Linked DNA regions of Nothobranchius furzeri. The protein of the gene in region 1 purifies or fractionates together with the protein of each later gene. This does not show direct contact. Links are inferred from orthologs where the notes say so. Each region holds a gene or a part of one and is shown in the gene's direction. Other genes may lie near its edges.

The links.
Region 2: the proteins of eukaryotic translation initiation factor 4B (region 1) and eif3s10 purify together in Homo sapiens (co-immunoprecipitation; 3 studies listed by BioGRID and IntAct, with this or other methods). This does not show direct contact. The link is inferred for Nothobranchius furzeri from reciprocal best matches to the Homo sapiens genes EIF4B and EIF3A.
Region 3: the proteins of eukaryotic translation initiation factor 4B (region 1) and eif3ba purify together in Homo sapiens (affinity purification with mass spectrometry; 3 studies listed by BioGRID and IntAct, with this or other methods). This does not show direct contact. The link is inferred for Nothobranchius furzeri from reciprocal best matches to the Homo sapiens genes EIF4B and EIF3B.

Annotation. Positions count from the first base shown.
Region 1 is NC_091743.1:53,285,139-53,295,742, reverse strand, and holds part of eukaryotic translation initiation factor 4B, read left to right. Parts: intron 1-678; coding exon 679-831; intron 832-2,848; coding exon 2,849-3,054; intron 3,055-3,397; coding exon 3,398-3,514; intron 3,515-3,657; coding exon 3,658-3,712; intron 3,713-4,401; coding exon 4,402-4,548; intron 4,549-4,683; coding exon 4,684-4,887; intron 4,888-5,008; coding exon 5,009-5,158; intron 5,159-5,277; coding exon 5,278-5,542; intron 5,543-5,840; coding exon 5,841-5,917; intron 5,918-10,009; coding exon 10,010-10,268; intron 10,269-10,376; coding exon 10,377-10,414; intron 10,415-10,604. UniProt on the Homo sapiens protein: Required for the binding of mRNA to ribosomes. Functions in close association with EIF4-F and EIF4-A. Binds near the 5'-terminal cap of mRNA in presence of EIF-4F and ATP.
Region 2 is NC_091752.1:6,770,806-6,782,157, reverse strand, and holds the start of eif3s10 (eukaryotic translation initiation factor 3 subunit A), read left to right. Parts: upstream 1-5,774; 5' UTR 5,775-5,907; coding exon 5,908-5,956; intron 5,957-6,673; coding exon 6,674-6,864; intron 6,865-6,951; coding exon 6,952-7,088; intron 7,089-7,250; coding exon 7,251-7,414; intron 7,415-9,607; coding exon 9,608-9,807; intron 9,808-9,986; coding exon 9,987-10,195; intron 10,196-10,264; coding exon 10,265-10,436; intron 10,437-10,602; coding exon 10,603-10,707; intron 10,708-10,795; coding exon 10,796-10,894; intron 10,895-10,978; coding exon 10,979-11,095; intron 11,096-11,194; coding exon 11,195-11,352. Other genes in the region: dennd10 (DENN domain-containing protein 10), read right to left, coding at 1,022-1,189, 1,268-1,362, 1,433-1,540, 1,674-1,774, 1,850-1,961, 3,497-3,645, 3,728-3,807, 3,876-4,072 and 1 more. UniProt on the Homo sapiens protein: RNA-binding component of the eukaryotic translation initiation factor 3 (eIF-3) complex, which is required for several steps in the initiation of protein synthesis.
Region 3 is NC_091744.1:16,229,225-16,239,344, reverse strand, and holds the end of eif3ba (eukaryotic translation initiation factor 3 subunit B), read left to right. Parts: intron 1-1,039; coding exon 1,040-1,171; intron 1,172-1,258; coding exon 1,259-1,325; intron 1,326-2,574; coding exon 2,575-2,621; intron 2,622-2,713; coding exon 2,714-2,924; intron 2,925-2,999; coding exon 3,000-3,072; intron 3,073-3,169; coding exon 3,170-3,292; intron 3,293-3,371; coding exon 3,372-3,450; intron 3,451-3,500; exon of another isoform or gene 3,501-3,578; intron 3,579-3,650; coding exon 3,651-3,789; intron 3,790-3,867; coding exon 3,868-3,993; intron 3,994-4,024; exon of another isoform or gene 4,025-4,109; intron 4,110-4,182; coding exon 4,183-4,260; intron 4,261-4,413; coding exon 4,414-4,522; intron 4,523-4,600; coding exon 4,601-4,701; 3' UTR 4,702-4,713; intron 4,714-4,874; 3' UTR 4,875-5,412; downstream 5,413-10,120. Other genes in the region: carbohydrate sulfotransferase 12, read left to right, coding at 7,170-7,260.

The DNA of each region.
Region 1 (10,604 bases):
ACAATAAAGACAGATTGAAACGTAAAATAGACGTTTAAATGTGTACCCATAAACCTTTCATTAGGGCTGCACAATATTAGGAAAACCTGCGACAACAGTGATCAATATTGCAATGACAATATGACTTGCAGTAAATAAAAACAACTCAGGAACAAAAACAATCAAAGATGTAAAAAAAATATATATTTTTTTTTAAATTAAAAAATGGGTGAGGCAAAAGTTTAGATCAAGAGATGTGAGGAAAGGGGAAAAGAAACTGAACAAGAAAAGGCGATCAGTGGATCCCGGGAAAAGCAGAAAGAGCAGAATGAAGCTAACTCCCGGTGTTTGCTAACCATCCAAATTAAGTGATGTCATAAGATAGATGGCGGCAGGCATCTAACTTATGAGAACCCACCCGATTGGCCAACTGGCTGAAGAGCTTTATTTTATTAGTCACTAACTTCTTGCTTCCGTTTGACAAAATACTTGATGTGTAGCAAACATTTGAGCTGACCATTCATTGCGATTTATTTTTTCTGTTTACGATATGCGTATTGTGCATGCTTATATTGTGATGACGATACATTTAAGATATATTGTGCAGCTCTACCTTTCACGTTTTCTGCTGTTTTAACGCACTTATTCATGTGTTTAGTGTTGTAACAAAGCCAACTGTGTTCTGCGTCTTTCATCCAGCTAAGAAGAAGAATAAGAAGGGGAAGACCCTAACTCTCAATGACTTTCTGGCCGAAGACGGTGCCGGCAGCGGCGGCAATCCTAATGTAGCCCCAAGCTACCCGTCTAAGTCTACCAGCTGGGCTGATGAGACGGACGACTTGGATGGAGATGGTGAGACCAACACAGAAATCTGTCTATCTGAGGCAGAACTCTGAAATACATTTTAACTGTATGTGAATAAAGTTTAAACAAATGCAAAGTGAATTTCAAATTGAGTCATTGATTGTAGCCTGGTTCATTTAGCTGACGACCATTCAAACGCTCTGAATGAGAAAACAATAAACCCAATAAAGTTTATATTTAAATGATTCATTTACAGTTTTAGCCCGCCAAAGTTCACTTCCTGTTCAGAACAGACAAAAGAAAACATGGAATACAGCTGTGCCAGACGTGTAGGAATGGATTCTTTTGTGTGTGTATGCCTTGGTTCTGCATGACGAGTTGTTTTTGTATCCACTCTGCAGAATGTTGATGCAAAAGCAAAATCTCCATCATGTGTGTGCGTGCCCATGTGTGTATGGGTTAACCGTTAGAGTTCAAGGCGTTGGAACTGTTGTAGTGAAATATTGTTTGTAATTATAATTTGAATGTGTGTTTGAGAGCTAAACACATTTAGCACTGTGGTGAATCAGTCAGCATGTGTGGTCAAACACACGAGTGGCTGGTGAGGTTTTGAGTTTAGGGGAAACCTCTTTAGTTTCATTAACTGTAGGAACTAGTTGGTCTAGCTTTTATAATGCTGATCTCACTTTCAGCGTTTCTGTGAGGTTGATGTTTATTCAGCTGTGACCTTTCAAATGTTCGTTTGTGCAGTGTTCAGTGTCAATAATGGCATCAAAAAGACTTGATCAAGAAGATAACGATCACTTTGCTGCGTTTTGTAAACTAAAGTACGGCTTAGGTTTAAATCTGACAACATTCGTTCTCTCAGATGTTTTGGATCTAAAGCAGATCTGCAGCTCTGGGGTCGTGTGGCTCTGCAGCTTTGACCATAAGGAAAGATAGTTTTAATCATTTTTATCTCTTTATTTTTGCAATAAATCAAATTTTATAACAAGACACTGATACTAAAAGGATTGCATGCCAGTGTGGAGGTCCATTTCAACATTGAGCCAATTATTTGCATATTATCATTCTACTTGGTTTATGCAAACTTCACAGATCCATCTAAAAATGACTATTTTCAATATATTTGACCCAATTTACTACAATTAAAGAAACTATTGTCCAGATATTAATGTCTTACTAAACATGACATTGTAATAGCATGCAGGATGTAATCTTTGTAACACAAATATAAATTAGCCTAATAAAAAATAACCCAATTTTGTTTACTATTCTTCTACATGGAAGAATTGAAACCTCTCAGAATGGTCCAGAACAGGAACATAAAAATAGTTTACTGGATTTATTTCTGTCACACATTTAAAATTTAACCAGAAAATGAAATTATAATTTGGATTCATTAAAGTGAATGTGTAGGTTTTTGGGAGGGGGGCTCTATTATAATAATAATTATATTTACTAGGAAAGATGGTGACAATATCTGTGAGTTGTGATTGTTGCAGTGACCATTAACATTGTAATGTTGTGTTGTTCTCCGTTTTGTGGCAGTTGTTTTTTTGCTGCTGCTTCTAGTTTAACAATAAGTGGAAAAATAAAAGAACTGCAGCAGCTGCTTTTCTTTTGTCTGACACACGAAGTGTGTCACTTCAAATCAGCAATAACAAAGTATTATTTACACCTCTGTTATATTTGACAGATAATATATGTATCTGATTTGTGTCTTTACATTGTATTTATTACTGGTTCTTAATTATCTGTATGTTGTACAATTTTGTAATTTACTTTGAATATTTGAAGACCTGAGCCGACACTTTTGATTTTTAACACTCAGCTGAGCAAAATGTAAAGAGCTTCAAATGAAAAAGTTTCTCCCTTAATCGTCACTCTAACCTTTTAGAAAATCTAAGTTTAATTCATTTATATTTTTTTATTAAATTATTTTGAACACTTTGAAATCCCCAAATTTTTCCTATTTAGATGCTTTCAAGTCTTTCTGATGAGTCGGTCTTAATGAAAACCTGATGTCTTTTCTCTAAAGAGCTTCTGCTTCTTGTCTCTTCAGTCTCGACATCGTGGCACACGGAGGAGGATATGTACAGGGCCCCGCCCATCGACCGCTCCACCCTGCCCACGGCCCCGCGCTCTGCTCGTGAGCCAAACATCGACCGGTCCAAACTGCCCCGCAGTCCGCCTTACACGGCCTTCCTGGGCAACCTGCCTTACGAAGTCACCGAAGAATCCATTAAAGATTTCTTCCGCGGCTTGGCAGTAGGTGTTCCTCTACTTCAGCGGGGTGTAAAACACATCGACACATGGGTTGTGATCTAGTGGTTGTTTACGTTTATAAAAGCTTTTTCAAGGTCGTGAAATGCGTGCAGGCATTTAAATTTGGCGTGATCTTACAACGGTATCATTTTTTATTTTAGGATATGTGTTGTGAAACTTCTGTTTACTGTTTTGACAGGATCCCATAACACACACACACACACACACACACACATATATATATATATATATATATATATATATATATATATATATTTGTATTCATGTTTACTAGGTTTTCAAGTTTCTGTGGCTCAGGTATTTTTTTCTTCTGCTTTCTCTGCAGATCAGTGCAGTGCGCCTGCCGCGAGAGCCCAACAACCCAGAGAGGCTGAAAGGATTCGGCTACGCTGAGTTTGATGACCTGGAGTCTCTTCTGAGTGCCCTCAGCCTGAATGAAGAGGTGAATCTCAGACATTAACTCAACCTTATAACTAATACCTCGCCTTAAAATTATGTTGTGGAATTTATTTTATTTTCATATATTTGAAGTCTTTTGTTTAAATAAACGAGTCAGGGTTCACCAGCTTCTTTTTATGTCAACAGAACCTGGGGAATCGAAGGATTCGTGTTGATATTGCAGGCCAATCTAACGATAAAGGTGCGTGTCGGCTGCTGCTTTTAGCCTAAAAAAATGTGGTTTTTAAATTAAAGATTACATGAAAAATACAAGAAAAAAGATTTCATGAAATGTCCCACTGTCCAGTTTCTGGAGCCAAAATGTGACATTCGTCACGTGTCGGTGTCTTACTTTATTTCTTTAGTTGGGACGTTTTAGAATCTTGTATGAGACTGTGTGAGACTGGTGTTACTGGTTTCTGTAATGCTGGTTCTGGTGTGCAGCCCAGTCGGAGTCTTACGTTGAAGTCTGCAACTTTATTAGCAGGAGCAGTGTTTACAACCCAACTAGATTGGTATGGCCAATGAAAAAAGTTGCTGCTAATGCAAAATGGTAAATGGCCTGTGTTTGATTGAGTGCCTTCTAGAATTCTAGAACCCCCCCCCCCCAAGGTGCTTTACAACACAATCATTCACACACTGGTGGTGATGAGCTACACTGTAGCCACAGCTGCCCTGTGGCACAGGGACAAAGGCGAGGCTGCTGAGCACTGGCGCCACCAGTCCCTCCGATCACCACCTGCAGGCAGCGCGAGTCGAGTGTTTTGCCCAAGGACACAATGACAGCAACAGACTGATCGGTGTTCGAACCTGCAACCTTCTGATTACAGAGTGCACACTTAACAACTCTGCCACTGTTACAGTAAAACACATTTCATCTTTCCATCATAGAACGAGACGGTGGGTCCATGGGAGGCAGGGACAGGGGTGGACGCATGGCAGACATGGGTCCTGACAAGACGGACAGTGACTGGAGGGCTCGACCCAGTGCAGACGCTGATGACGGACCTCCAAGGAGAGATGATCCGTTTGGAGAAAGTAAGTCCAGAGGTTTTGTTTGATCTTTGTTTCCGTTCAGATATTCCTGCTTGAACCTGATGAGAAAATCCTGTTTTACTCATCTAAGATCCTCTCTAGTTTTCATCTGATGGAATACTTGTCGGCTGTTTGCAGAATCACGGGACCGCTACGAGTCCGATCGTTACAGAGATGGCCCGCGGCGAGATAATGATCGCTATGACAGTGGGAGAGACCGCTACCGGGATCGCTATGACGACAGGGACCGTAAGGATCGCTATGATGACAGGGAGCGCTATGATGACAGGGACCGTAGGGATCGCTACGACAACAAGGACCGCAGGGACTTCAGTCAAGGGGGTGAGCTGGTTTAGACGTGTGTTGGTTTTCTCCTGACTTCCTGTTTTTCTCAGGTTTTCTTTTTCCAGCAGGATGTTTTCAGGTTTCCCTGTTTCTTATCGGCCCTAATTTTTCATTTCAGGCTACGACTCTCGTGGTGGAGGAAGTCGTCGTGCCTTTGGTAGCGGCTTCCGCCGAGATTACGAGGATGGTCGGGGGAGCAGCGATCGTTACGGTGAGCGGGATCATTATGGGGACCGGGAGGACCGGTATGAGCGACGGGAGGAGAGAGGTAAGTTTTTTTTTGTTTTGTTTTTTTAAATCTGACTACATGATTGTTTCTTCAGACCGGGTCTCTGCAGCGTTCAGTCCTTCTAATCTGGTTTCGTTACCTCCACATTTTCCCTCAAGCTCCTCAGCAAAGACCCAAGCTGAACTTGAAGCCCCGCAGCGTACCGAAGGAGGAGGAAGGTACCGGCAGCAGCGGGAGCACATCTCCAGCCGTCGCCCCCAGCTCCGGCAGCAGGGCCTCCTCCATATTTGGGGGAGCAAAACCAGTTGACACAGCGGCCAAGGAAAGAGAGGTGGAGGAAAGGCTGAAGAAAGAAGAAGAAAGGCTGCAGAGGCAGCTAGAAGAGGACAAAACCAGAGGACCTGAAAGAAAGATGAGGGACAGGTCAGAGATGACTGTTTTTCTGCTTTTTATGCCAAAACATGTGTCTCTAAAACATCTGCTTAGGATTTTTGCTGGAGTTTGTGATTAAACATGTCAGGTTGTCATCAAGTATGTAGCAATCTGTCACTCGACAGCAAGTTATTTCGTTACAAGTAAAAGTGCAGTGAAATAATTGACAGTTTTGTACTGGTTTCCAGCGAGTTTTTTGATTTAATAAAAGTGTTGTACCAACTTTAGTTCTGCTTTGAAGCTAAAACAATATCCAATGTTTTGAGAAGTAAACGGTTGTTGTTTTCAGGGACCCTAGCTGGCGTAATGAGGAAACTTATGGTGAACGATCCCGCACAGGAAGTGAATCTTCACAGCAAGGAAGAGGTAAAATGCTGCTCGGTTTGTTTCTGACCAAACCTGCATTCAGAATAAAAACATGTTCTTTACTGTTTTACATAAACATTCCCTTAAAGGTGTGGTTCACTGAAAAAACATTTTTTTAAATGATTATTCCTGATTATAATCGGTCACTCTTGAGTTTTTCGTGCAGGCTGAACATGAAAATAGTCTCCTACACCTATCTCCTGATGATTAGAAAAGCCTGACAGATCTACGTCACACATGGACTCACCCATCTTGACTCACGACAAGGAAGGCTGTTCTTGTTTTAGCGTCCAGGAAACGGTAGAGAACGTCTTAGCTAGCAGAAGCTAACTGTTAGCATTAGCAACTCCACCATAGGGTTGTCACGGTGTGAAAATTTAACCTCCCGGTTATTGTGACCAAAATTATCACGGTTTTCGGTATTATCGCGGTATTTTTTAAACGTGTTACATTTTCAGACAACTAAATAAACCCTGTATGTCAGGAAAATATTTTCCTCAGTTTGTGTCTAGATTTAGCCTAAAATTTGTTATTTTGTAATTATGTTGTTTATTTGTTTACATTTTTCCCCTTTAGTCTTTACAATATAAATATTTGCCCATAACTTCTTATTTTTTGTCTGTTTGATGTCATCATTCTAAAAATATTAGATCAGATGACACTCGGTACTCAAGTAGCCTTCTAATCAGATACTTTTTTTACCCTTTCTTGAGTAATAAACCCTATACCAGGAAAATATTGTCCTCGGTCTGTGTCCTTCCAGTGAGCTTTGCAGATTTGAGAATAGGCAGTAATCATTGTTTCCTCCCGGCTTGTGATAAAAAGATCAGTGTTGTAAATCAGTGGTAGACGAGATGTCATAGAGCTGGGTCAGGGGTCGGCTACCTGTTCCCATTAAAGAGCCATTATTACCTAGGGCTGTAGCGAAGCCTCGACGAAGTCGACGGCTCGATTCTAAAAATTTGTCGACGTCAGATCCGGAAGTCGACGCACCGCGCCCACTTGTTGCATCCCCAGGAGTTTGTAAATAGAGGAGGAATCTGCCTGTTTTTCCTCTAGTTCGCCCTCTTCTCCGCCTTCACTAACATCTCCGCCAAATACCGAAGACTCGGAACAATGTCCGTCCACTACTAGATTATTTTCCTGTTTTGCCCCTTCGTCTCCCGGCAACGGACAACAACTTCCGGGGTCAGATGCGCTGCTTCGTGTCTACCGCAGATGTAGAAAATCACCGGGAGCGCTTCTCCCTTCATTAAGGAGCTTCTTTCAGACATGAGGAGAGCTGTTTTGGTGGTAGCAGTCTCTCCTCCATGCTGGTCTGTTTGCTGCCGGGTGTTTTTGGTTTATTTAAACTTGGTAACTTGGACTTAATGTTGGTAAAGCTACTGTTAGCATCTTCGCTAACAGCTTCTTGCGTTGGGATAAGCTGTTACGTTTTGGTTTAGAGTTCATCTTTTTTGTGGTGTAGATCTCCCTTTTATTACATTTAGAGTGTTGTGGGTTTTCGGTTTAGTTTAAAATATCACCTGAGTTTGGTTTAACCCGTAAGACCACTCGCCTCACGCACATAAGTGACCAAAACAAAGCAGCATGGAGACACTCCATCTTCTACCACCTCTCAGGCAGCAGCCTGCACTCCCAAGTTCTACATGTCACCAGAACATAACCAACCAACACAATAAACGCAGTGTTATACAAAATGGAAGGCCTGTAGTGTTTATTCTCTTACAGTAAGAATTTATCAATTTTTTTGAGGAATTTATTTGAGATTTTCTGGTTTTTGTTAATTGTGCAATAGAAAAATAATCTTTAGATTAATTTTCTAAATAGTCATTAGAATAGTCGACTATTCGATAAAATAATCGTCAGAATAATCGTTTTAAAAATAATCGTTTACCCCCAGCCCTATTATTACCCGTTTCCCACAGTAAAGAAAACTCTGGGAGCCACAGCAGCCGCGGCGTTGTGGGCGGGGCCTACCCTCAGACAGCAGAGAGCTGCTTTAACCAATCACAACAGGTGACAGTAGCCAGTACCGGTCGCTCGTGTACGTCAGTTATCTTTCATAAGACGATAATCAATAAAACGATTTATATAAAATGGATCCAGAAGTTGTAGCCCGTCTCTGCCTACAATATTTTGATATTTTTCACCCTGTTGGTGGTTTTACTGAGCAGGTGCCACTTTTGTCATACGTTTCTTTTTAAAACATGTTTAGACTGTTCAGAATACAAATCCAGGATCTGTCACGTTTGATTGTTGTAATTAAACTTTGTAGGTGGGGAAGGTCAGAAAAGGATCCGATCAGTTTGTTTTTCCCTCATTTGCAGTGACGGAGATAACGGCGCAGTGTGCCTGGCTCTGGTGTTAATCAAGTTAAATTATATCTCTTTGCAACAATTTTCACAAGAAAACAGAACAGTTAAAAGCAGGGCTTGTGTTGACCGGACAGTTCCCGTATTTGACCGTTTATTTTGACGGAGAAAGAATAGAAAGCATTACCCCGACGCATGCAGACAAACTGACATTATATTCATTATGCACATCGCAGATGTAGCTAAATCACTCAAGAAAAGATTCCCATCTGAACATCTGAGCTGGACACTGCTCAGCGCAGCTCGCTGTCAGCGCATACGTATGGTGCACAGCGAGCTGAAGATGTGGAGAGGGGCTTGGAGCGCCTCGCAGAACCAGAGCGCTTGCAGGAAGATTCCTCCCACTGAAGCGAGACTTGTCACTTAGAAAATGTTCCCTGATAATGGAACTTTGGCTGAATAGTGCTTGTTCCTGTCTCCAATGTGGCGACACATCCAGGAGCCATCTGAGGAGAAGCCCAGAATCTCACGTCCACTTCAGCTCAGAAAGCGCCGATATGATTACGCACAAGCGTGACGCGTCAACCCGGTCTCACAGTAAGACCGGGTTGGAACTGTTCAGGTTTACGCAGACAATCTTTACATTTAGAATTGGCACACAGATGTAAAATTAATTCAGTAAAATATAAAGCATTTCATTTAAATATCCATTCATTATTTTACAAGCACAGAGAGCCGCATCAGATGGATGGAAGAGCCGCGGGTTGCCGACCCCCTGGGCTGGGTGATGTGGCCTAAAATCAATATCACGATATATTCAAGGTTTCACCTCGATAACGATAAATGGACGATAACTAAAGGTATGCGCAGAAACAAAAGTTGTCCACTAGATGGGCCTGTCACATGTATTACTTTGGGTCACATTTTCATCTTAATATAATCAGCTTATAATTTTACGCCTAAAAAACCAGCATGTTTACCTTTTCTAGCTTCAACGTAGGATGTTGTGGATCGACTTCTTTGTTCTAAAAACCCACTTAGATGAGTGTGTAGCGCAGACACACGGGTGCTTTGGGTCTAGCCGTGACATCTGGGAAAGACTGGCAGCATATTTCCACCAGAAAAGTGAATTGTCACCTTTTTTAATAACAGGATTCAAACAGGCGGCTGCTTTTTTAAACTCCGGCTCCCTCCTGTGCAGACGTTGCATGCGCCTTTCGCAATCATCTTTTGTTTGCACAAATGACCTCATCAGTGTTTGTTTGCTTTGAAATGCTCACAAACAGCAGAAGTTTTTTTTTTTACACCAAGTCGGTTGGTGTGCAACCTGCCATTTTTTCTTGCTCGGTGTGTCTCTTCGGTGCTGTGACGGGATGACATGTTCATAAACTTTCTGGAATGTCTCCAAAAGTTGAACAAAATGTTTGAAACTAAAAACTGAAAATTTAACCATGCATCCTCTAAACATTAAAGGACTTATTTATCTGTCTTTTTCATCGTGTCTCCTATCTGGACTGCTTTGTCATGATGGTAATGGAACTGGTATTTTTAAACACCGGCTGTATACGTTATTGCTGTAATATTGCCCAAGCCTAGTGTACCGGTGTATACCCCCCACCACCACCCCACCTCCTGAGTATGACTTACAAGGCGTCCTACTACAGACCACTGCTAATGACTACATTAGTGAACCACACTTTTAAATGCTGATTAAAGAGCTCTTGTAGCTTAACTTTAGAGGTTTCCTCTTCTGAATCCAAACCGTCTCATCCACCAGGATCAAGGTGTCGAGACAGCGAGCGCCCTGGGGACAATGAAGTTTTCTCTGGGAGAGAAGAGAGTTCCTCTCCTGGTTCCTCACCGCTGCCCCCCTCCACCAGCTCCTCAAAGGAGCCTCTGAAAGTGATGCCTGCTCCTCCTCCTAAGGAGAACGTGTGGGCCAAGAGAAGTGCGGTGAGCACAGGCTCCGTTGATGGCGACCCGCGACAGCCAGCCTCTCCAGTCTCACCAGGGGGTTCGACCCCCCCCAAGTTTAGGTGAGAATGGAGCGGATGGTCGCTGAGCGTTATGAATGCGATGCTCAGAAAAGAGTCTGTTTTTATAAAATGCACGTTTTCATTTGTTTTTGTACTTTTGTCTTTTAGTTCCTCGAGTTCTGCAGATGAAAGAGGATCTGGAAAGGGTAAGTCCTGTCAGTAAGCGCTGAACACCAACCTTACTGTGGACTGCAAGAAAAACAGAACATTACAACACATTCATTCATGTGTTAGGACTGTATTCTGTCGTCACATCAACAGTTTTATTCAAAAAAAAAACAATTATGGACTTAAAAAACATTTTATTCTTAGGAAAGCATTGTTGCTCTAATCACA
Region 2 (11,352 bases), on another chromosome or scaffold:
CTCTGCTGTTTCCTGGACGCTAAATCAGCAACAGCCTTCCCTGTTGAGTCTAGATGGGTGAGTCCATGAATGTTAGTGACAGTGTGACGTAGATCTGTCAGGATTTTCTAATCCTAGAGTTTCACCGTCTGTTTTCTTTCAGAAGCTACTGCAGGAGATAGGTGTAGGAGACTATTTTCATGTTCAGCCTGCATGAAACACTCAGAGTGACCCGTTAGAATCAGAAATAATCATTAAAATGTTTTTTCGGTGAACCACACCTTTAATGCGAACTACTTTCTATCAAACCTCTGATTCTCCTCTAGAGGAACCTTTGGAGTCTCTGATGAACTTGTAAGATGTTTTGGTTTCATTCCTAAAGGTTCAAATGAAGACAGCTGGACTTCTTTAGTTTCTTGAAGATGTCTCGCTTCTCATCTGAGGAGCTTTATGGGAGAGTCTAGCTTATCAGCTGAAGCTGTGCAGCTGATAAGCTAGACTCCAGTTAGAACCAACAAAGCTCCTTGGATGAGAAGCGAGGCGTCTTCAAGAAACTAAAGAAGTCCAGCTGTCTTCATTTGAACCTTTTGGTTTACCATGACCTGGATGACTGAGAACCTTCACCAGCATTCCTAAAGGTGAGGATTGTCGTGATCCAATCTGGGTCTGGATCCACAAACCTGCTCCTCGTTTTGTTTTTCACCGGTCCTTCCTCTTCCTCCTCTCCTCTCCAGAGGAGTAAAGGAGAGTAACGACGTGGTTTTGCAGCAATAGGGACTGCATTAATGAAGCTCCTGCTACAGTTTAAAGCTTCTTATTTCACCTTTTTGTTTAAATTGAGAAAACCTGCCAGAGAAATCGAGAAGGGGGCAGCTGCACGGGGCTGGTGTTGCAGAAGCCAGTGAACCAGCAGGTGCTGGAGGCGTTAGTCTCTTCTAGGAATGTTTACGAAAATAAAAACAAACATTCCTCTACACAAGCCTCCCAACGTTAGAGCAACACTCAGATTTGAGCTTATAAGCCGCAGAGTCTGAGAACCCGTTCAAATCCATAAGAGCTGCTCCACAGCTGCCAGATGAAACAGGAAGTTCTCGGTGGCCGGAGGGAAGTGATGCCGCTTCAGGGCTTCCAGGGTGATCCTGGAGTCGTCGCACTCTTCGGCCAGAGCAGCCAGGTTGTTCAGGACTTCTTTAGTCTTGACGGAAATGTCCTGCGAACGAGAGTTTGTTTGTTTTTATTCGATTTAGGAGGGCTTCTGTGCCGAGTGAGGCATTAGAGGAGCTCCCACCTTGATGACCTGACCATCCGACTTGTCGGGATCCTCCGCAGACTGGACGATGACCTGAGCGATGTCCTTGTGCAGCTTCCCCATGGCCATGGCCTCTGTGAGGGAATGCCAGGAATCAATCTGAGAAGATTCAAGCCCGTTGCGTTCTCGTGGAGCCTACCGTACCTTTGGCACTCTGGGACACGGTGATGACTCTGTCTGGGAGGTTCACAAACACATCAAACAAGTCCAATCTGTTGCTCACTTCTGCATCTACGAATCCCGCTACGTACCCTGCGGAGAAGAAGGTAAGCACGTCGGCTGATAAATAATTCATTCAGCCACCATTAAAGGACAGCACAGATGGCAGCAGATCACAGTTAGCAAATGTTTCCTGTTAATTAGCTAAAGCAGCTGGCCGCCTCACCAGGGCATTTCTTCAAATCCTCCAGCTCGGCGTGGGTCAGGTGGACGTACGGGTGCAGGATGGACCAGTCTTTCCTGTGCCATGTCAGAGCAGGAAGAGCTCTGCTCAGAGAGAAGAGGAAGAGTTAAGAACCAGACGCTCCTCGCCTCGAGCGGGGGTTAAAGTCCAGGATTCACCTCGTAAACTCCAACAAGGCTTCGATTCGAGGATGAAAGACCACCATCCTCTTCTTCAGCATCAGGGCGGTGTACAAGATGATGGTCTCCACGCCAAACTGAGACACCACGTCTGAAACCAGAGCGGGAGAACGGCGCATTACAGCTTTCTGTCGGCTTTCTTTTGATTTTTAGAATCAAGTAATATTGTTTTTTTTTTAATTCTGGTAAAATTCTGGAGCTAAACTCTAATTTCTGCCTAAAATTCATTCTACAATCCCAAAAGTAGATTAGAGATCATTTTATGATTATGTAAACTACGACCGAACGTTTAATGTACAAACAACAGAAATGTTGAAGCTGCTGCCACTGCCTCATTAGGGTCACCATGGTAACTGCACATCTGTAGTTTGGTGAATCGTTATCGGTCTCGTGTGGTGACTGTGTGTGTAGCGGACGAACCCTCCGCACCGTCACTCGTACGAAAGCGCTGAACTGAAGCCCAGTGGGCGGTTCCCCCCACCGCCATCTTAGCCACGTCACGCGTCTCATCTCAGGAAATACAAAAATGGAGCTGAGAGCGGGGCCGTGAGCATGGGGGCTGATGACTGACACCCATTAACTCATTCACTGCCAAGGACGACTAAAGTCGCCATTTGCATTTTTTTACTGTGTGGTCGTCGGACGAGCCCCCGCACCTCAGCTCTGAAGCCGATCTTCATCCGCGTACGTCACACGTCACGTGATCAGGAAGCAGAACATCCATGTGTTAGGAGATCGTTTTGGGCCGCTGCTGTAATAAAAAGTGAGGCGCGAACCGGAAAAGCTTCTGCCGATCACAATTCAACAACGGATTATGAAAGAACGGATAACGCTCCAAACGCGCGGATTCTTCCTGATGTAAGAGGTGAGTCTCCGCTTTGTTTTGGTTGTTTTGTCGTTGACATCATCCTAGTGCGCAACGTTCTGTGACTCTTAAAAAACAGCAAAAGCGGCGAGAAACGCTGGCAGCGAATGAGTTAAGCTCAGAGCCAATGTAGCTACAAGCTAACTGAAGCTAACAGGGGCGGGTGTGTCTTTAGCCAGGAAATAACATTTGAGCGACTCTGCTACCTTCTAGGCTGTAACACTTGTAACGCGAGGCTGCGGCTGAGGCCTACCCTGGAGCAGAGAAGGGCGAGTTGCTGCCACTGACAGCTCATCTACTACCTGTCAATCTAAAGGACACGCCCCTAATTATTCATAATTTCAAGCTTTAATCACATCTAAACAGATGAGTTACAAAGAGATTCACCCCCCTCAGAGTTATCATGATGATAAACTAGATCTATTAAACCTAAAATGATTTTAAACCAAACTGTAAATATGTTTATTCTGCTGTGAAGTTGGTATTTTTTTAACATGGGAGTCAATGGGAACGGTCTCCTTTCTGGAGCCAGCCCCTGGTGGATGAGAGTGGAACTGCAGTGTGTGTGTGTGTGTGTGTGTGTGTGTCTGTGTGTGTGTGTGTGTGTGTGTGTGTGTGTGTGTGTGTGCGCGTGCAGAAGGTCTGATGGGAGGTAAAGAACTGACAGAAACGACAACAACAACTGCTTCTGAGCACATCAGGTATTTAAACTGGTACCAGTGGGGCTCTAACAGTAACTGGTGGAAGGTGCGAGGTCTCACCTTTAACTGAACCTGCCAGGTAGGCCTTTTGGACGTCGTAGTCCTTGATGAGGAAGGAGCCGTTTTCGTCGCTCTGACAGATGCCGTTGGTGAGGACGGTGATGTAGGCCTCCATCATCTTCACTGGGCTGCCATGTTTCAGGTACATCCTGGAGAACAGCAGGTAAACGCTGACCAGACGTTTCATTTAGACCGCTAAGCACAGATCGTGGTCACGAAAAACATCTTCACCTGCAGAGAACTTTATTAAGAGCGGCGTACTTCTCAGGGTTGAAGTCTTTTGCTGTTAAAGCTACTGAAAAGTCTGTGACCTGTGGGGAGAAGAAGTAGATATTTTATGTTCCCGGTATAGAGAAGCTACGTGCTCCTCCCTCCATACCTTGGTGAGAGCCGTGGGCTCCTGCACCTCCACCGTGGTGATGTAGTACCAGCTGCGTCTGAACTGACCGAACACAAACGTGTGAAAATCACAGCCATCCTGAGTCAGGCAGCTTTTGCTGAGCAGCACCTGCCTGAGCTCCGGGCTCACAGACGGGTAGCACCACACCCACAGCACGTCTTTATTCACATCTTTCTCTGGTGGAGGAAACAGAACATCAAGATCAACCTGAGCATGTCAGATGGTAATGTTTGCAACCATCAGGGACAGATCCAGGGTCAAAGTTCAAGAGCTGCAGAGCTGCTCAACCCCCTGCCTGAGGGAAAGAGGGCGACTGATAAACAGAGAGAGAGAGATCTGGCTTCTTCATCTGTCAAAAAGATGGGGAGGAGGAGGAGGAATTAAGGTAAGAAGAGAGGGAGGGGAGAGGTGGGGAAGGATCAAAAGATGGGAGGGAGTGATAATAGAGCCATTTATGTCGTCACAATTCTTTAAACCACAGAATATTTCCTACTCTGACAGAAATATTGTGATGTTTCCAGGCGTGTTACACCTAAAAGTAAATCCAACAGGTGAGATATTAGCCACTCATAACCTTTCTACATATTAAAGCTTAAAAATATCTGAACTGTTCCTTTAATGTTGGCAAACCATCCCAGTGACTGTAAAGTCTGTGTCCACCAGCGCCCCCTGCTGGTCAAAACGAACACACCTGCATTTGATGCAGAACTCGGTTGTAATCTAATTTTCTTGTGCTCATGTCATGTTTACAATGTTCCTCGTTCTTTATCCTTCAGAGAAGCTCCTCTCCCTCTGCGTGTTCACACGATGATGGGAATGACGAAACCTCTTCCGTCTGCCACACTGATGTCATGTGATTCTCCTCCAAGTCAACCTTCGCTGAAACAAGTTTCACAAACATCATCCACATCCGATCTGACAGCTCGGACTTACCGAATAACCCGATGCTCAACATAAACTGCGTCCCAGTCGTTGCTGTCATGTTCCATATAGAAGTTAGCTGGAGAGAAAACACCAACTATCGTCCTCTCTGCTCAGAAAAATCTGTCAGAAGTACATTAGGAGCTCGTCCAATGCTAAAATAGAAGCTGCATTGATTCCAAAAAACTGACCAATTAAATCTGGATGATTGTTTTGGGTAAAAATTAAGCTGCTGTGCAACAGACTTTCGTGTCTGTGTGGAACGTATTCTCATTTCCGGGATCAACGAATGTGAAGGCGGAGCTTCGATTCTCTGCCAATTACAATGGTACTGTGACGGTGCGTTCGTGGTAATTGGAATTATGTTAAATCTCCAAGTAAAAGATACTGGCAATAATTTGTTAAATATTTAACAGTGACGCGATCAACATTGAGCTATTATATTCAAACAAAAATTCATAACTAAGATAATCTGAACAGAATACAGCTTGTGTTTTCCTATGATGCACCGTTATAACACCGATTTAAGTTTTATTTTGATGTTATTGAACGCATCACCAAAAGGAGCATCCCCGCTCCAACTCACATGGGATGCCAGGTTGGCTTAAAAACCCTCCGTTTTGAACGTGTTTAATTGAAAAGCTCTATTAATTATTTGTTTTTGTTTTGATATACCAAAATGACACTATAGTATAATAAATTTATGTCTTTAATTTAAATAAATGTATTGTCTAGATGTGGGAGTTTATGAATAACGTGCTATAGTTAAAATGTATAACTTATAACATTCGTTTGAAATTTTGCTTTTGAAATGTTTGTAAACAAAAAAAAATTAATCAAAGTGTGTATTATACACAGTGTACGCCTTTAGCTATTAACACACATGTTAATGTTTAATTTTTACTTTTCTTCATCATGGTGTCCTGCTGTAAGGAGGTCGCATCTGGCAACCCTAGCCTGGACGTTCACGAGGTTCTTCCTTTCTCGGCTAGCGTCGTTGCTGTGACTGCGTGGTTCGGATGAACTGGTGAAATTCGTCGAAATTGTAATCAAGTCACTCAATTTTGAGTTTCAGTAGAGCTGCAACAACATGCCGGCGTATTTTCAGCGGCCAGAGAATGCTCTGAAACGAGCGAACGGTGAGTAGATCCCCGGCTTCGTGTGACAGATGAGATGGATTCATGCTAGCTAGCTTTAGCCTGGTAGCTTGACGTTAGCGGCTACTTGGCCGTTAGTAGGTGTTGTGCTGAAAATGGCACCCAGCGCTTTTCCAAGCACGGAAAGCGCATAGAAAGTTGTTAACATTGCAACATGCGCGTGAAACTCGTAACCAACAATCTGCCCTGTGTATTTTACGTTCTCTACATTAATTATGTCTTTTACAAATGTAGTTACAATTTTACTGTTTTTCCAAAGCGTGAAACTTGGAAAAGCTCCATATTCTTTACATCTTCCGACTGATTAATTTAACCTAAGTTGTCATTCATTAATGCACAAATCGTTTAGATAATTTGGAAAAACCGTCACCCGTCGCGCTTTGACTAGTCCGAAGGCAAGTGCGCCTTTTGCCAAAGAGGTGCCTCTTTCGACACAACACCGGTTAAAGCGGGGATACCGAGTCGCTGCGTTCCGCTTACAGCCTGTGTAGCTAACTAGCAAGGCCACATTTGTGCTACTGATTGATGCTAATAAATCAGCCCTACAACCATAATGACATTAAACTGAGGCTGTCTGGGTTTTCAAGTGCTAATCATGGCGCACACATGTTAATCATGGCAGCTACGTTAGGTCTAGTTAAGCGTTGGAGTGGGCTTTCTGTGCTCTGACAAGTTCCTCCCTGAAATGTGTTAACACAGAGTTTCTGGAGGTGGGCAAAAAGCAGCCAGCCTTGGATGTTTTGTACGATGTCATCAAGAGTAAGAAACATCGAACATGGCAGAAGATCCACGAACCCATCATGCTCAAGTATTTGGAGCTCTGCGTGGATCTGCGCAAGAGCCACCTGGCCAAAGAGGGCCTCTACCAGTACAAAAACATCTGTCAGCAGGTGTGTAAGAAGAATAAATGTCGTGTTTGTTCACAGCTTGTTGTTTACACCGGAATATTCCTGATTATGTGTCCTCTTTTCCGTCAGGTGAACATCAAGTCTTTGGAGGATGTAGTCAGGGCGTACCTAAAGCTGGCAGAAGAAAAGACTGAGACGGCCAAGGAAGAGTCCCAGCAGATGGTTTTGGACATCGAGGACTTGGACAACATCCAGACACCAGAAAGGTGAAACGGCTGGCTTCTTTTAAAACGATTTTTCTAATAACTCCAGTAGAAAAGCTGTATTTGTGATGCACCCATATGAAATTTTAGGGCCAATAGCGATGCTGATATATTGTCCATCGCTATTGATCACAGTAAATATATATTTTAATTCTGTGATGATAGTGTCCTTCTGAGTGCCGTCAGTGGGGAGGACACTCAGGATCGTACTGATCGCCTGCTGCTCACGCCGTGGGTGAAATTCCTGTGGGAGTCTTACCGCCAGTGCCTGGATCTGCTGAGGAACAACTCCAAAGTGGAGCGTCTGTACCACGACATCGCTCAGCAAGGTAACTGGACACGTGTGTGTGGAGGGAAAAGCAATCCCAGACCTGCCAACCTGTACACATTTTGCGTAGCCAGTACGCAATTTGGCATCTATTTACGCTGGTACGACTCACCCCTCTAAACTACGCAAAAAGCTGCGGATACGCGAGTTGAGTTCTGTGGCAAATATGCACATGTGGTACTCATGTCTGACAACACGACTCAGCTGCGTGGTGAAGAAGTTTAAGCCAATCATCGTAGAGAAGCAGAGAAAAAACAGAGCTAACTGCCTAGCCTATAGCGTAACACCCCCGCCCCCCCTCCTCCCTGCTTCGTCCTGCCCGCTGCTCCTCTCTCCCTCCGGTTCGCCACTCGCTGCTGTTCTGGTAAGGTAAACTGTGTGTGTGTGTGTGTCAGCGGGTCGGACCGGCCGTCTTTTGGTGAATGTGAACGCGTAACGTTACTTTCACTGTTGAACTTTCAAGCCGAAATCTGAGTGAAAAAAAAATAATAAATCTGCGACTAAAGAGCCAGAGGCAGCTGTGTGTGTGTGTGTGTGTGTGTGTGTGTGTGTGTGTGTGTGTGTGTAATTTTCCATCTAGTGAATGGGGAGATTACAGCGTGAAAAGCAACGGAGTTGCAAAAGTCCGCGAAAAAAACGCCGCACAAGTGGTACTCAAAAAAATTTTGACAAGATTGGCAGGTCTGCCATCCAAAAGGAAAGAAGATGCCCACTCAGTCTCATTTATTATGAGAGTTCAGTGTTTCCCCTAGGAATTTTTCCAGCTGTGGCGGTGGGGCCGGCCAGGGGGGGGCTTGGGGAGAAATTATGACACGTCTCTAAATAAAGTAAAATTTTCCAGTGCAGATTGGAGACAACCCATAGAAGCACTGATTTGATCTCATTTCAGAGAAAAATAGAACAGGTTAGATGCACCTAATAAATAAAATTACTAACAAACTCAGGAATCTTTCTTTGCTTCTCTGTTCTGGTGCTGAAAACATCACTCATGCGGATCAAAGGAGATACACAGATGAATGCACCTCTTATTTATTATTTGGAGACTACATTTACTGCAGCTGGCAGAGGCAGAGATTGTTTCTATTGATACACAAATTTACAGAATCATTTTAAATGTTAATAGGGGAAAACTGCAGGAGGGAGCGGTAAAATACAGGGGGTCCCCAGCAAAAACAAGAAACTTTACGAGTCTGATGAAACCCGCTGGTTTTCCATCAGGCAGTCGACGGGGCAGCTCCAACGACCCAGTGGCTGTGCTGGGTCAATGTTATCAAGCTCAGTCGAGGCGACGTCGTGCTCTGCCTAAGAAGAGGTGTTATTTTCCCGCTTCAGAAGAAGCATCCAAAGTGTTTTTACGCTTTCTCCGAGACATGTCACGTCGCTAAGTTGTTAGCGCGCGGCGCTAACACGTCAATAGTGCAGCGTAGCCTGCTGGAGGTTTTAAGGGTTCAGATGAAACACCCGACCTCTCAGGCTGCTCAAACATCGATATTAAGTTGTCGCTGTTGTGCTCACGCCGTAATACAGTATTAGATGCGGTTAAAGTCAGACATGAAAAAATAAATAAATTTTACATAAATAAGTGATGCTTAGCCTGGTGGGGGGAGGAGAACCTGGCCTAATAAGCACTGGAGGAAACCCTGTCAAGATCGTCAACACTCGTTTATCTTAATGCTGTTGAAACATGTAAACCACAAAGCATTAAGTTCACTGCTACCTTTCTAATTTTAAACTCCGTAACTTATGCTGTAACTTCACCTTGCCCTGCCTGCTCCTTGCTGCCGCCGGCTGTGATCACCAGCGACAACATAGTAGTTCCCGCTGCTTGTTCGGGAAACAGCGCAAAAAAAAAACTTGGGATCTTGTAGGCGTGGAGGTGGGATTTCAGCCGCGGCGGACCGCCACGGCTACGCCTATGTAAGGGAATCCCTGAGAGTTATTGTCAGAGGTGAAAGGCTGTGAGAATTATCAGGTTAAACTGGTGCATTTTCTACCTGAACACCAGAGAGCAGGTTACTGTAAAATATGTCTGACACCAAACGTACATTTTGACTAGAGAGCTTTATTATGTGTGGCCCTTATGTTTATTGGCCCTGTTTAGTTTAGTTTTCAGGTTAAAGCGGGTTCGACAGGATTGGCTGCAGCTGAGCGAAAACCATGCAGAGTTAACATTTGTCGTCGTCTTCTTCTGCAGCTTTTAAATTCTGCCTCCAGTACACCCGCAAAGCAGAGTTCCGTAAGCTGTGTGACAACCTCCGCATGCATCTGGGTCAGATCCAGCGACACCACAACCAGAGCACCGCCATCAATCTGAACAACCCCGAGAGCCAGTCCATGCACCTGGAGACGCGTCTGGTGCAGCTGGACAGCGCCATAAGCATGGAGCTCTGGCAGGTCGGCTCGGATGCTCATTTTTTTTAACTGGATCTAATTCTGTTGGTTTATTAATAATAAAACTGTTGCACTGATCATTAACGACCAGTAATGTCACCTGCATTAGTAGGTGGATCCTTCTGAAGTTTAAAAACAATTAGCCGATGTTGATTCCTGGCACTTTGTTTTGGTGTCACCAGGAAGCTTTTAAGGCTGTTGAGGATATCCACGGCCTGTTTGCCCTCTCCAAGAAGCCTCCAAAACCTCAGCTCATGGCCAACTACTACAATAAAGTGTCTACTGTCTTCTGGAAGTCTGGAAACGCTCTTTTTCACGCCTGCACCCTGCACCGCCTCTATCACCTGTCCAGGGATATGCGCAAGAATCTGACCCACGATGAGATGCAGCGGTATCCTGTTCTCTAACTTTAACCCTGCAAAATCAAAACAGGGATATAACCTCTGTCTTTGACCTTCAGGATGTCCACCAGAGTCCTCCTGGCTACTCTGTGTATCCCCATCACCCCTGAGCGTACGGACATCGCCCGGCTGCTGGACATGGACGGCATCATTGTGGAGAAACACCGCCGGCTGGCCACGCTCCTCGGGCTTCAGTCCCCTCCGACGCGCCAGAGCCTCATCAATGACATGGTGAGGAATCTGAAGCTTGGAGCATATATTTAGTTCCTCTGAGGTTTAATAGGTGCTTCAGTTTAACTTTTCATGCTTGTCACAAAAATCTGAAACAATCAAACTTGGATATGTGTTGAATCTTTAAAGACAAAGTTTATTTATTGTTCCCGTGTGAATGTTTCAGGTGAGATTTAACCTGCTGCAGTACGTGGTGCCTGAAGTGAAGGAGCTCTACAACTGGCTGGAGGTCGACTTTCATCCTCTGAAGTTGAGCGGAAGAGTCACCAAGGTGATCATTGCAGTCATGAAGCTGCAATGGCAGCACGTAGCACTGCTAGTGAACTGTTGCTGCATCTCATGACGTCGTCTCCCATCAGGTGCTGAACTGGGTGAGAGATCAGGCTGAGAAGGAGTCTGATCTGCAGCAGTACGTCCCTCACCTGCAGAGCAACACCATCCTCCGGCTGCTGCAGCAGGTAGAAACTCTTCTTCAATAAGACCTGCCAATAACTGGGTGGTGGTTGTCATTCGTGTTCTTGTATTATTATTATTTATTTCAGGTGGCTCAGATCTACCAGAGCATCGAGTTCAGCCGTTTGGCCTCCCTAGTGCCGTTTGTGGACGCCTTCCAGCTGGAGCGCTCCATCGTGGACGCCGCGCGGCACTGTGACCTCCAGGTGGGATCAAATCTAACGAGATATTTTAAATGTCTGAGTCTGACTCGGGTGCTACCATAGCAACAGGCAGGGATGGCTTCAGTGTTGTTTGCTCTGTAGGTTCGAATCGACCACTCGTCTCGCACTCTGAGCTTCGGCTCGGACCTGAACTACTCCACCAAAGAGGATTCTCCAGTGGGCCCGTTCCTGCAGAACATGCCGTCGGAGCAGATCAGGAATCAGCTGACGGCCATGTCTGCGTCTTTGGCTAAAGCCAT
Region 3 (10,120 bases), on another chromosome or scaffold:
GTGTGGGTTACAGCGACAATAGCATGCAAATCCTCCCCATAAAAGAGCAACCAGAGACTGAGTCACTACAGTATAATCGCTGATATGAGTCAATACTGTTAGATTGCAGCCATGTTTGCCCTCATAACTAATAACTCCACTGTGCGTGACCCAGTAGATGCAATTACATCATCATACATCTAGTTTAACATGATAGATTTTTTTTCTCTGGGCAATAAATATACGATATGGGCCACCTCTAGATGACTAATTGTACATTAATTATAAATATATATAAATAAAAAGTGCCTGTGGGACATTTGATACACCTCCAGCTCTCAAGTGTGTGTGTGTGTGTGTGTGTGTTTGTTAACTGACAGCTGTACCAGTGTTTCTAAAGCACAGACTGGTAGAGAGTAGGCACTAAGGTTAGAGTTTGACAAGAATCAGTACATTTTTATGCATTTAATCTACTGATTTATGTTTATAATTTGTCAAGACAGCTTGAAGTGAGTTAACTTGTAAATATTTTACAGGAGGAAAAATATCGAGATATATATCGTATATCGGAATTCAGCTAAAAAATATCGAGATATAAGTTTTTGTCCATATCGCCCAGCCCTAATGATCACAGATTATTTGTTTAATTTAGTGATGGATCACTCCTATAAACTCTAATGAAAGCTGGGGAGACATTTCAGCTGTTGGATTAAGGTGTTAAAAGAACGAACGCACAGCGAGACGATAAGTTTTGCTTTCGGTTCTACAAACACTAGGGGGTGCTAAAAGCGAGCCAAAACTGCCTAGTTTCTTGTAGAAGTGATCTTTATTTTTATGTTATTGCAGTTAATGTTTCTTCCGGCGGGGAATCACATCAGCATACACTTTTAATAGAAAATATGATCAATAAAATATGAAAAAGTGATTTAGCAGATCCTGTTTGTTAGTTATAGTGACTTGGAAATAAAACATTAAAGATAAACACAAACCATGCTTTGTAGGTAGCATTAGCCAAACTGATTTTACTGAGTTTTATAAAACGTGCTGTTGGTTCCTGCAGGTATGTTGTCACCTTCAGTCCACTGATGGACACCAAAGAGGACCCACAGGCTATCATCATCTGGGACATTCTGACTGGACAGAAGAAGAGAGGCTTCCACTGCGAGAGCTCGGCACACTGGCCCATATTTAAGTCAGAACACTACTTTTGTTCTTTCTCTTTAATTTTAAATGCAGATTTATGTTTGGGTGTGTTTTAACTGGACAGGATTTCTCTCAGGTGGAGCCATGATGGGAAGTTCTTTGCTAGGATGAGCACAGACACGTTAAGCATCTACGAAACTCCAGTAAGTAAATTAAGAAGCACCATTTTTTTAATGAAATATGATATATATAGTTATAATAGTTATGATTTTAAATAGGGTTGGGTATCGAGCATCGATTGGAACCGGTTTCAACTGTTAGTTTTTCCCGGAATCGTTCAAAGTTTTTTATTTCGATTCCTAGTTTTGATTCCTAGAATGCCGACCGGAAGAGGAATCCGCGGCTGATCTCCGTGAAAAATAAACGTGATCTGCAATCTGTGATCAACGCTTTTCAGAGCTGATCACACCAGCTGTCTGTGTGCAGCACCGAGTCTCCTCCCCTCACCCACCCTGCACGCAGCGGCCAAATATAAACAAACGCCTCTGCCGAACTTTTACTCCGTAACGTAAACTTTACCTCCTGCAGCGTAGAGGAAACGTGTTAAAATACGTCAACACGGTGGATTTAATAGAAGCTTTAAAGAACAAACTCTGGATGGTGTGAGGTGAGTTTGTCTCACTGCAGAAATAAAAACACACACGGAGCGTCAGCAGTCAGACGCAGCCACTCACCAACACTCGTGTGTGTGTATGCGCGTGTTTGTGTGTGTGTGTGTGTGTGTCAGAAGGCTGAACAATAACCTGTAGAATAATTAAAGTCATGCTAGAGCAGCTTCTCTGTGGTGGACCACACCAGCCACAATAAATAACTATAATAAATCACACACAATGTTGTGAACATTTTAATTTCCTTTCTGAACTATTTCTGTTGAGTTTTATGTTTAAAATCTGTTAGGTTGTTACTGACAGCAGCTACATTTAAGTTCCACTTCCTGTTCTGACTGAATGCTGCAGCAGCATGGAGGTGTAGCTCTCAGTCATCCTGGACATGATCATCCTGAGATTTTTAGCTGAAAACAGCTGGACGTTTCTGGATATGTTGGAGACATTCAGCCTCTCATCCCAGAGGCTTCCTCCAGACTTTGGTTGTGGTCAGAAACAAACACACTGGTTGTGCTGCAAGTGTTTTTCTTTTTTCTCCAAAACATGTTTTTGTCTAAATGAAGGTGTTGTTGTTCATAGAGTTAAAATTCATGTTGAAGTTAAGATTATTTCATCGAGTAGGACCTGTGGTTAGCTGGCTCATGGAAAACATGGACTGTCTGGAAAGAATCCGAATCAGGAATCAATAGGAACCGAAATTGAATCGAGGAATTGGAATTGGAATCAGAATCGTTCAAAATCAAATGATGCCCAACCCTAATTTTAAAGGTGTGTTTTTTCCCTTCAGTCAATGGGCCTGTTGGACAAGAAGAGTCTCAAAATTAATGGCATCAAGTAAGAGTTTTTAATCTCGTTATGAATTGTTGCTTATTACACTTTTATTGTTATATTGATGTGAATCTCGAGTTTGTTTGGTCTTTCCACAGGGACTTCTCATGGTCTCCTGGTGACAACATCATAGCGTTCTGGGTACCAGAGGACAAAGACATCCCAGCTAGAGTCACCCTGATGCAGATGCCGTCTCGTCAAGAGATCAGAGTTCGTAATCTCTTCAATGTAGTTGACTGCAAACTGCACTGGCAGCGAAATGGAGATTATCTGTGTGTGAAAGTGGACAGGACTCCCAAAGGAACTCAGGTATGCAGCCAGAGATAGACTGTCTTTATATCTTATTGGATTTACGATAAAAGGCCCATCTCTGTTCGGTTCCAGGGTGTTGTCACCAACTTTGAAATCTTCCGAATGAGAGAGAAGCAGGTTCCTGTAGATGTCGTGGAGATGAAGGGTGAGAGCAAAAAAAAGAAGCATTTTTGCATCTATTTTTGACCGTTTTATTTTATAGAAGTAATCTAATGCGATCCGTTCGTGTCCTGTCTTCTTAGAAAGCATCATCGCATTTGCCTGGGAGCCCAACGGCAGCAAGTTTGCTGTTCTCCACGGAGAGTCTCCCAGAATCAACGCTTCCTTCTATCACGTCAAAAACAACGGGAAGATCGAGCTCATAAGTCAGTTGGTTGGGCAGATGAGCGAAAGTCGTTTTTTTAGTGTCTTTACTCCCTCTTGTAATTTTTATTATTTTTACAGAAATGTTTGACAAACAGCAGGCAAACAGCATTTTCTGGAGCCCCCAGGGACAGTTTATGGTGCTGGCTGGACTCAGAAGGTAGGGTGTGTGTGTGTGTGTGTGTGTGTGTGTGTGTGTTTTCTCTCAAAAGCCGCTGATGATAAACTTTATTTTCTGACACCTCATATGAGAGCTTTGCTCCTGATTCTAATGCTGTTCTGAGGCTTGTATCTTTTCTTTCACCTTTCACCTCTTGCACCTGCCCCAGTACCAAGTCTTTGTTTTGCCTCTGTGTTCAGTATGAACGGCGCTCTAGCCTTCGTGGATACCTCTGACTGCACCTTGATGAACATAGCAGAGCACTACATGGCCTCTGACGTAGAATGGGACCCGACCGGCCGATACGTCGTTACCTCCGTCTCCTGGTGGAGCCACAAGGTGTGTCCTGCTTCCACAAACTCACTCGCTCTTCTCTTCTGTTTAAACTCATCCCTTCTTTTGGACTCATTTGTCTAGGTGGACAACGCGTACTGGCTATGGACCTTCCAGGGCCGTCTCCTCCAGAAGAACAACAAGGACCGGTTCTGTCAGCTGCTCTGGAGGCCCAGACCTCCCACTCTGCTCAGCATAGATCAGATTAAGGTACCAGTTTGCCTGTAAAATGTGTGTCTGGAGCCGGTGATGACAGATAAAAACTTTCTGACACCTCGTATGAGAGCTGCACTCCAGCTCCTGATTCTATTTCTGATCTGAGGCTCATAAATACTTGACATGACATTTCAACCTCCTTGTTTTAGAACAGTCCTAATTAACTTGTGTTTTCCCTTGCAGATGATCAAAAAGGATCTTAAGAAATACTCAAAGATCTTTGAGCAGAAGGATCGTCTGAGCCAGTCCAAGGCTTCAAAGGTTTGACCTGTTCCTCCTTTTTGACATTTTACTCTTCATTGAAGTACAGATCTGTACATTCATGTTATCTCCTTCATCTTTGAAAGCTTGAGTCTGCCGACACTTAATTTTCTTCACTGCTGAAGTCATACAAATGTGTGTTTGTGAGCGTAGGAGCTGGTGGACAAGCGCAGAGCCATGATGGAGGAGTACCGTAACTACAGGGAGGCGGCGCTGCAGAACTATCAAGAACAGAAGAACCTCCGCCTTGAGCTCAGAGGAGGTGGGGCTCTGCTTTTACAAGCTCGACCTCGATGACCTCTGTGCTTCATTTTAACATTTGGATGGTTTGGTCTTCCAGGAGTGGACACTGATGAGCTTGACAGCAACGTGGACGACTGGGAGGAGGAGACCATTGAGTTTTTTATCAACGAAGAAATCATTCCCCTCGGAGATCTGTAGTCCGCTACGCAGGTAACACTTGATACGTGTAACAAACATGGCCACTGGTGTTTTGGTCCAGTGTTATGCTGGAATAACTGGAACAGCCCATTTTCTTTCTATTATAATTAGTTGCTTTGCACTTGGTGTCTGTATCAATGGTGTGATTTGGTGCTACTCTGATCTTCCTTTAGTCCATCTGTTGTTGTGTGGAAGGAGAGGATAGGAGCGGTGTCACTGACTGGAGAAGGACGACGGCCTCACTGTGACAAACGTTGGGTTCGTCTCGAGCCTCAGGTTTTCTTTTAGTGGCATCATCAAATCAACGTCTTGTGGATCAGCAGCCACATTGAGGAAAAAGAGAAGCTATCCAAATTATTTCTCTGCCTCACAATTGCCATTTTCTTCTTTGTGGAACTGGAAATTTAGTAAAACTGCCTTCATTTTTAAACATTGGTTGGAGTCAAAACTCTCAGCCCTATCTTAGTGGACCTTCTTCCTCCTGGGATTGATTCTGAACAGGCCTCATCATGCTGGTGTGTTGCTACAGCGCAGCACAGAGTGTCAAACCAGTGCATGAGGAAGGTGTTGAGTCAAAACCAGTAGCCTTGTCAACAAATGTGCTGATGTGGCGTTATAGTGGCCTGTATCCTCCTCCTTTCAGATTAGGCTTTCACACAGGGAGGGGGTGCGCAGTGGGAATAACTTTAAATAAACATTCTAACACAAGTACTCCTCTGTTCTGTTTTTGTGTCTTAAACAAGTTTTGTCCTGTTTTATTAAAATTTGTCAAAATGCAACAAAGGGTTTTTGAATGAATCTGTGGATAACAAATTCAGATTAGGGCTAAGTTTAGCAATGTCCCTGAGGTGAAAGAAGGAAGAGCGATCTAGAGAACTGACATGGTAGTCCAAAGTAAGAGCTGGGTCAAAGGTCACCAGGATTCCAGACAGGGTTTGGTGTGAGAAACAAGCTGACAGTCTCTGAGAACCAGCTTGTCTGGGGCACAGATTAGGATCTCAGTCTTCATTCAGCTGTAGAAAGTTACCAGCCATCCAGATTTTAATGGAGTGAGCAGATGTGTGACAGCTGCAGCTTGGACATCTCATGGGGTTTAAAGAGGATGTGCAGTTGGGTGTCATTTACATGAGGATGGTAGGAGATTCCTTAAAAGGACCTCAGAGTGCTGAAGGGGTAGCAGATAAAGGAGGAACAGTATTGACTCCAGCACATAACCTTGTGGAACCCCATGAGCAAGGGAGGTGGGGAAGAACCAAAACTTGCCAAAGAGATGAAATACTTGGACAAATAGGCGGCAAACTAATCTAGTATAGTTCCCGATAGGCCTAACAAGTAGCTTGGACATGAGCTGGAGTTTAGCGATGTCATCTCACAGTCAAAGCTATACTTAAAGGTTTTCTAAAGCATAACTCACAAAAAAGCTACCAAAGCTTATTTGCTGCTTTTGTTAGTGGATCAAACAGTTAAAATTATTTTAAGGTTTTGTATTTAATTGTATTTTCATGATGATAGCTGCATAATTCAAACTGGGTGTTTATTGAATAAATGCAATAATATTAATCAGTTTAAATGACTTGCAGTGATTTTTTTGGGGCACATTTGCATAAATATTTGGAGAAGGTACATGTATATACACATAGTGGGTGCTATTATTGCAAAGTAAATTAAAAACTTGGGTTCCAGAACAGCAGCGTACTGTAAGGGACACATTCAACTCTGGTATTGCTCAAGTAGTATATTTGTAGTATTAAGTATAAATGAGATTTTCCTTTAAATAATGTAGCTCAAACTGATCATGTAGCCTAAACAAAAAGCAACTCTTGTTTAAAGTTCGGAGTAATTTATTGCCCATTAAATGGCGTCATTATTCTGCAAAGGTTTTTTTTTTTTTAAATACATTTTACAAAACAGGTCTGAACTTGTTATAACAGTTTCTGGTACAGAAAGAGTGAGTCGGTTTTTTTTTTTTTTTTTTACAAACGAGCAGGACAAAAACAACAATATGGCACTTTTTTGTGCTATATGGCAAGGCATATTTAAAACAAGGAATCTGCAATATTTTTGATAAATCGTGGCAGTTTTCTTAATTATTCCAGAGACTTAAAATATTGTGTGAAGTAGTTCACAAAGAAAGGCAAAACTGGAGTAGTATTCTTTCAATAATTACAAGGTCAAAAATATCCGAAATAATCTGTAAAGGTAAAACAAGCCAGAGAAGAGAAAATCTCGAGTGTTCGGCGGATGGGTTTTTAAATCTCGCGAGATTTTAAATCAAAGAGGAGCCCACCCGGTCTCATCACCGGTAGACGGACAGATGGAGAGCTGGAACACCGAGTGAACCGACTGAACGGAACCATGGATAACAAACGCAGGGTGAGATAAAAACTCATTTCATCACGTTTGTTAGTTTTCGTTATTTTTTTAACCTCCAGACGGACGAGTTGTCTAACGAACGTTACTGTTATGTGATGCTCCCGGTGCAAAGGGGGCACGAACGGAACACAACTGGGCTTTGTGTGGCCCCTCGGGGACGCATCATCTTGATACGGAGGATCAAAGGTGGGTGAAAGCAGATGGACTCGCCTTTCATGGCGTCGTCTGCACTAGAGAGAAAACCGACACCGACCACTCGGATGAGGGACGGTCGGTGAAATGGGAGAAGTCCGTTTCCGCGGAAAGGTCAGGGTGATGAATTACTTCAGAGATAAACTAAACCTGTGATCTAGAAGCCTGAGAAAAAGCTACAAAAGAATACACGTGTTGAACTTATTTATAGCTAAAGTTCACGCGCTTATGTTTTTCTTGTGCGCGTGTCTGCGCTCGCGAGCGTTTGTGCTTAACGCGTGGCAGTAGGAAAAAAAGTGAGTTAAGGATTTACATTTCCACCAAACAGACTCTTGTAAGCCAGGAGTTTGGCTTTCCACGCTGAAAAAAATAGAAAAATAATAATTTTGTCAGTGAAATCACGTTCTTCCCTGGCTCGGCTGGATCTTATCCCGTTATTTTTTAGACGTCATTTCCCCCCGGCCGACAGCAGATGTTATGTGGGACAGACAACAGAGGGGTGTGAATCCTCCCTGGTGCCCTGGTCCGGAGCCTCCATCCCCCCTCCACCTCCCTGCTTGTTCACATCTCCGTGACAGCTGAGCGCCCCGGCCGGAGCCTGCGGGGTTCCCACGGTCCCCCTCAAAGCAGCCAAGCACATCGTGCGGTTATTATGCTGCTTCAGAACATTAATAATGATCACCGTTTTGACCCAGATGATAACTTCTCATAACCATATGCAATGATGGCAAATATGTTTATTAAAAATAAATAACAGTTAAAGATTGACTTGGCCTATCAGAGCTACATAAATACAATGCACCAGTTTAATCTCAGTAAATCCACTTGATTGTGATGAAATATTTTAAGCTGAAATGACTAAACTGATGCTCATCCCCTAAACTTATTGTAGAGCAAAACTCTACAGTAATTACTCAGCTGAATAAATGTCAGAGGAAATTCTGGTTTTCCTTCAAATTGCCCAAAACATATCCTGCAGAAAATATTTATACTGCCAAACATTCCTCAAACACACAGCTAACAAAGCAAGATGCTACCTAAAGTAAATGACCTAACAGAATTTAATTTAAGTAGGAACATATGTGCTTTGAATCACTTAGGTGAGGAGATTTCAGCATGGGAAAATAACTGAATAAACAATCATAAAGATTCTGTTTTAGCATCAAATCAAGTAATCTTTATTTCAGACTTAGTTCAGTTCACAAGAAGTATAAAGACACTACAGATAAAATAAAATAAGCACAATGTGACATGTTAAAGCATGAGAGACAGAATAGTCTTGAGAACAAAAACAAAAAGGTGTGTGTGTGTGTGTGTGTGTGTGTGTGTGTGTGTGTGTGTGTGTGTGTGTGTGTGTGTGTGTGTGTGTGTGTGTTTGTGTGTGTGTGTGTGTGTGTGTGTGTGTGTGTGTGTGTGTGTGTGTGTGTGTGTGTGTGTGTGTGTTAATAAACAGCAGCAAAACTGCAATGATCACAAATTCATGTTATGAGAACATTTTTGAAATTTGGGGACTTTTCCCTCTCTTGTAGTTTTCTGATAATCTCTGTTAGAACTTCCTTGGAGAATCCCAAAACAGTTTAGGACCAAACACTTTCATTTGAAAATGAATTATAGCCCACATGGATTGAAATTTATTATTAGTTGTGTTTCAATCTGCATTCAGACCGCATCTTTACTTCTGCTGTTCTTAGATCGTTCAGCGGGTTTTGGTACGGTTGACCATCGTGTTCTGTTGGATTTACTTGAGTCCTGGCTTGGTCTTTGGCACTACTCTTGACTGGTTCCGCTCCTACCTGGCAGATAGATCTTGCTGCAGACTGTAGAGAACACTGCAGCTAGGTTCCTGACTAACACAAATAGGCACAGTCATATCACTCTCCTTCTAGCGTGTCTCTATTGGCTTCCCGTAGGTTTTAGAGTGGGGTTTTAGGTACTGCTTTTTGTTTAAAGAGACTATGTGTAGTTTTTACCATTAATTCCTGGAAATATCCATCAAAATGTTGTTGAAAAATATTGGGGGCTTCGTATCGCATAACCACAAAAATCAGGTCTAAAATACATGGGAGCAGGTCTAAGTCTCTGGGTGATGCCATATTAGATGCCATGTTTCCTTCTATGGCAGCCCATGAGGACAAAATACATTTACTGATTTGTAACAAATGGTTAGAAAACTTGTCATTCTTAAATGTTGTTGTTTACACATTTACCTCTTTACTTGTTGCCATTGATGAAAGAGAGTCTGATGTGCTCATCATTTAGCTTAAGTTTGCACTCCCCAGGGCGTTTTGACCCTAATGGGCATCCGTTGATGTGGTCTTACTCCAACACAAAAATACTTCATGCTTGCAATAATTTAGGTATCTACTGCCCCCTATTGCCAGGAAAAATACACACTGTCGCTTTAAGGCTTTGACTGGTCTTGCACCCTCCTTTTTGTCGAATCTGCTCACTCATTGTGTACCCGGACACTCACTGAGGTTGGCTGATCTTTTGTTACTGTGCATACCAAACATGAATTATAAAGCATGGGTGGGTGGGTGGGGGTGGGGGGTGGGGGCTGTGCTCTGGAAGGTACTTCCTCTCTCAGTTAGACAGGCATTGTCCTTTGCAATTTTTAAATCACAAATCGACTCACTTTTATGACTTGGTGTTTGGCCAGTGACTCTGTTATGTTGACTTTTTCTATCTGTTTTGTGATGTTCTTTTATTATTTTTTATGAAGATGTCATGTTCAGCACTTTGGTTGGCTCTCATGCCATTTTTATACATGCTGTAGAAATAACATGTTATTGTATGGTCTGAAAGTGGATTGGAATGCAGCTGATCATGCACATTTTCACCCAATTCAATTTGA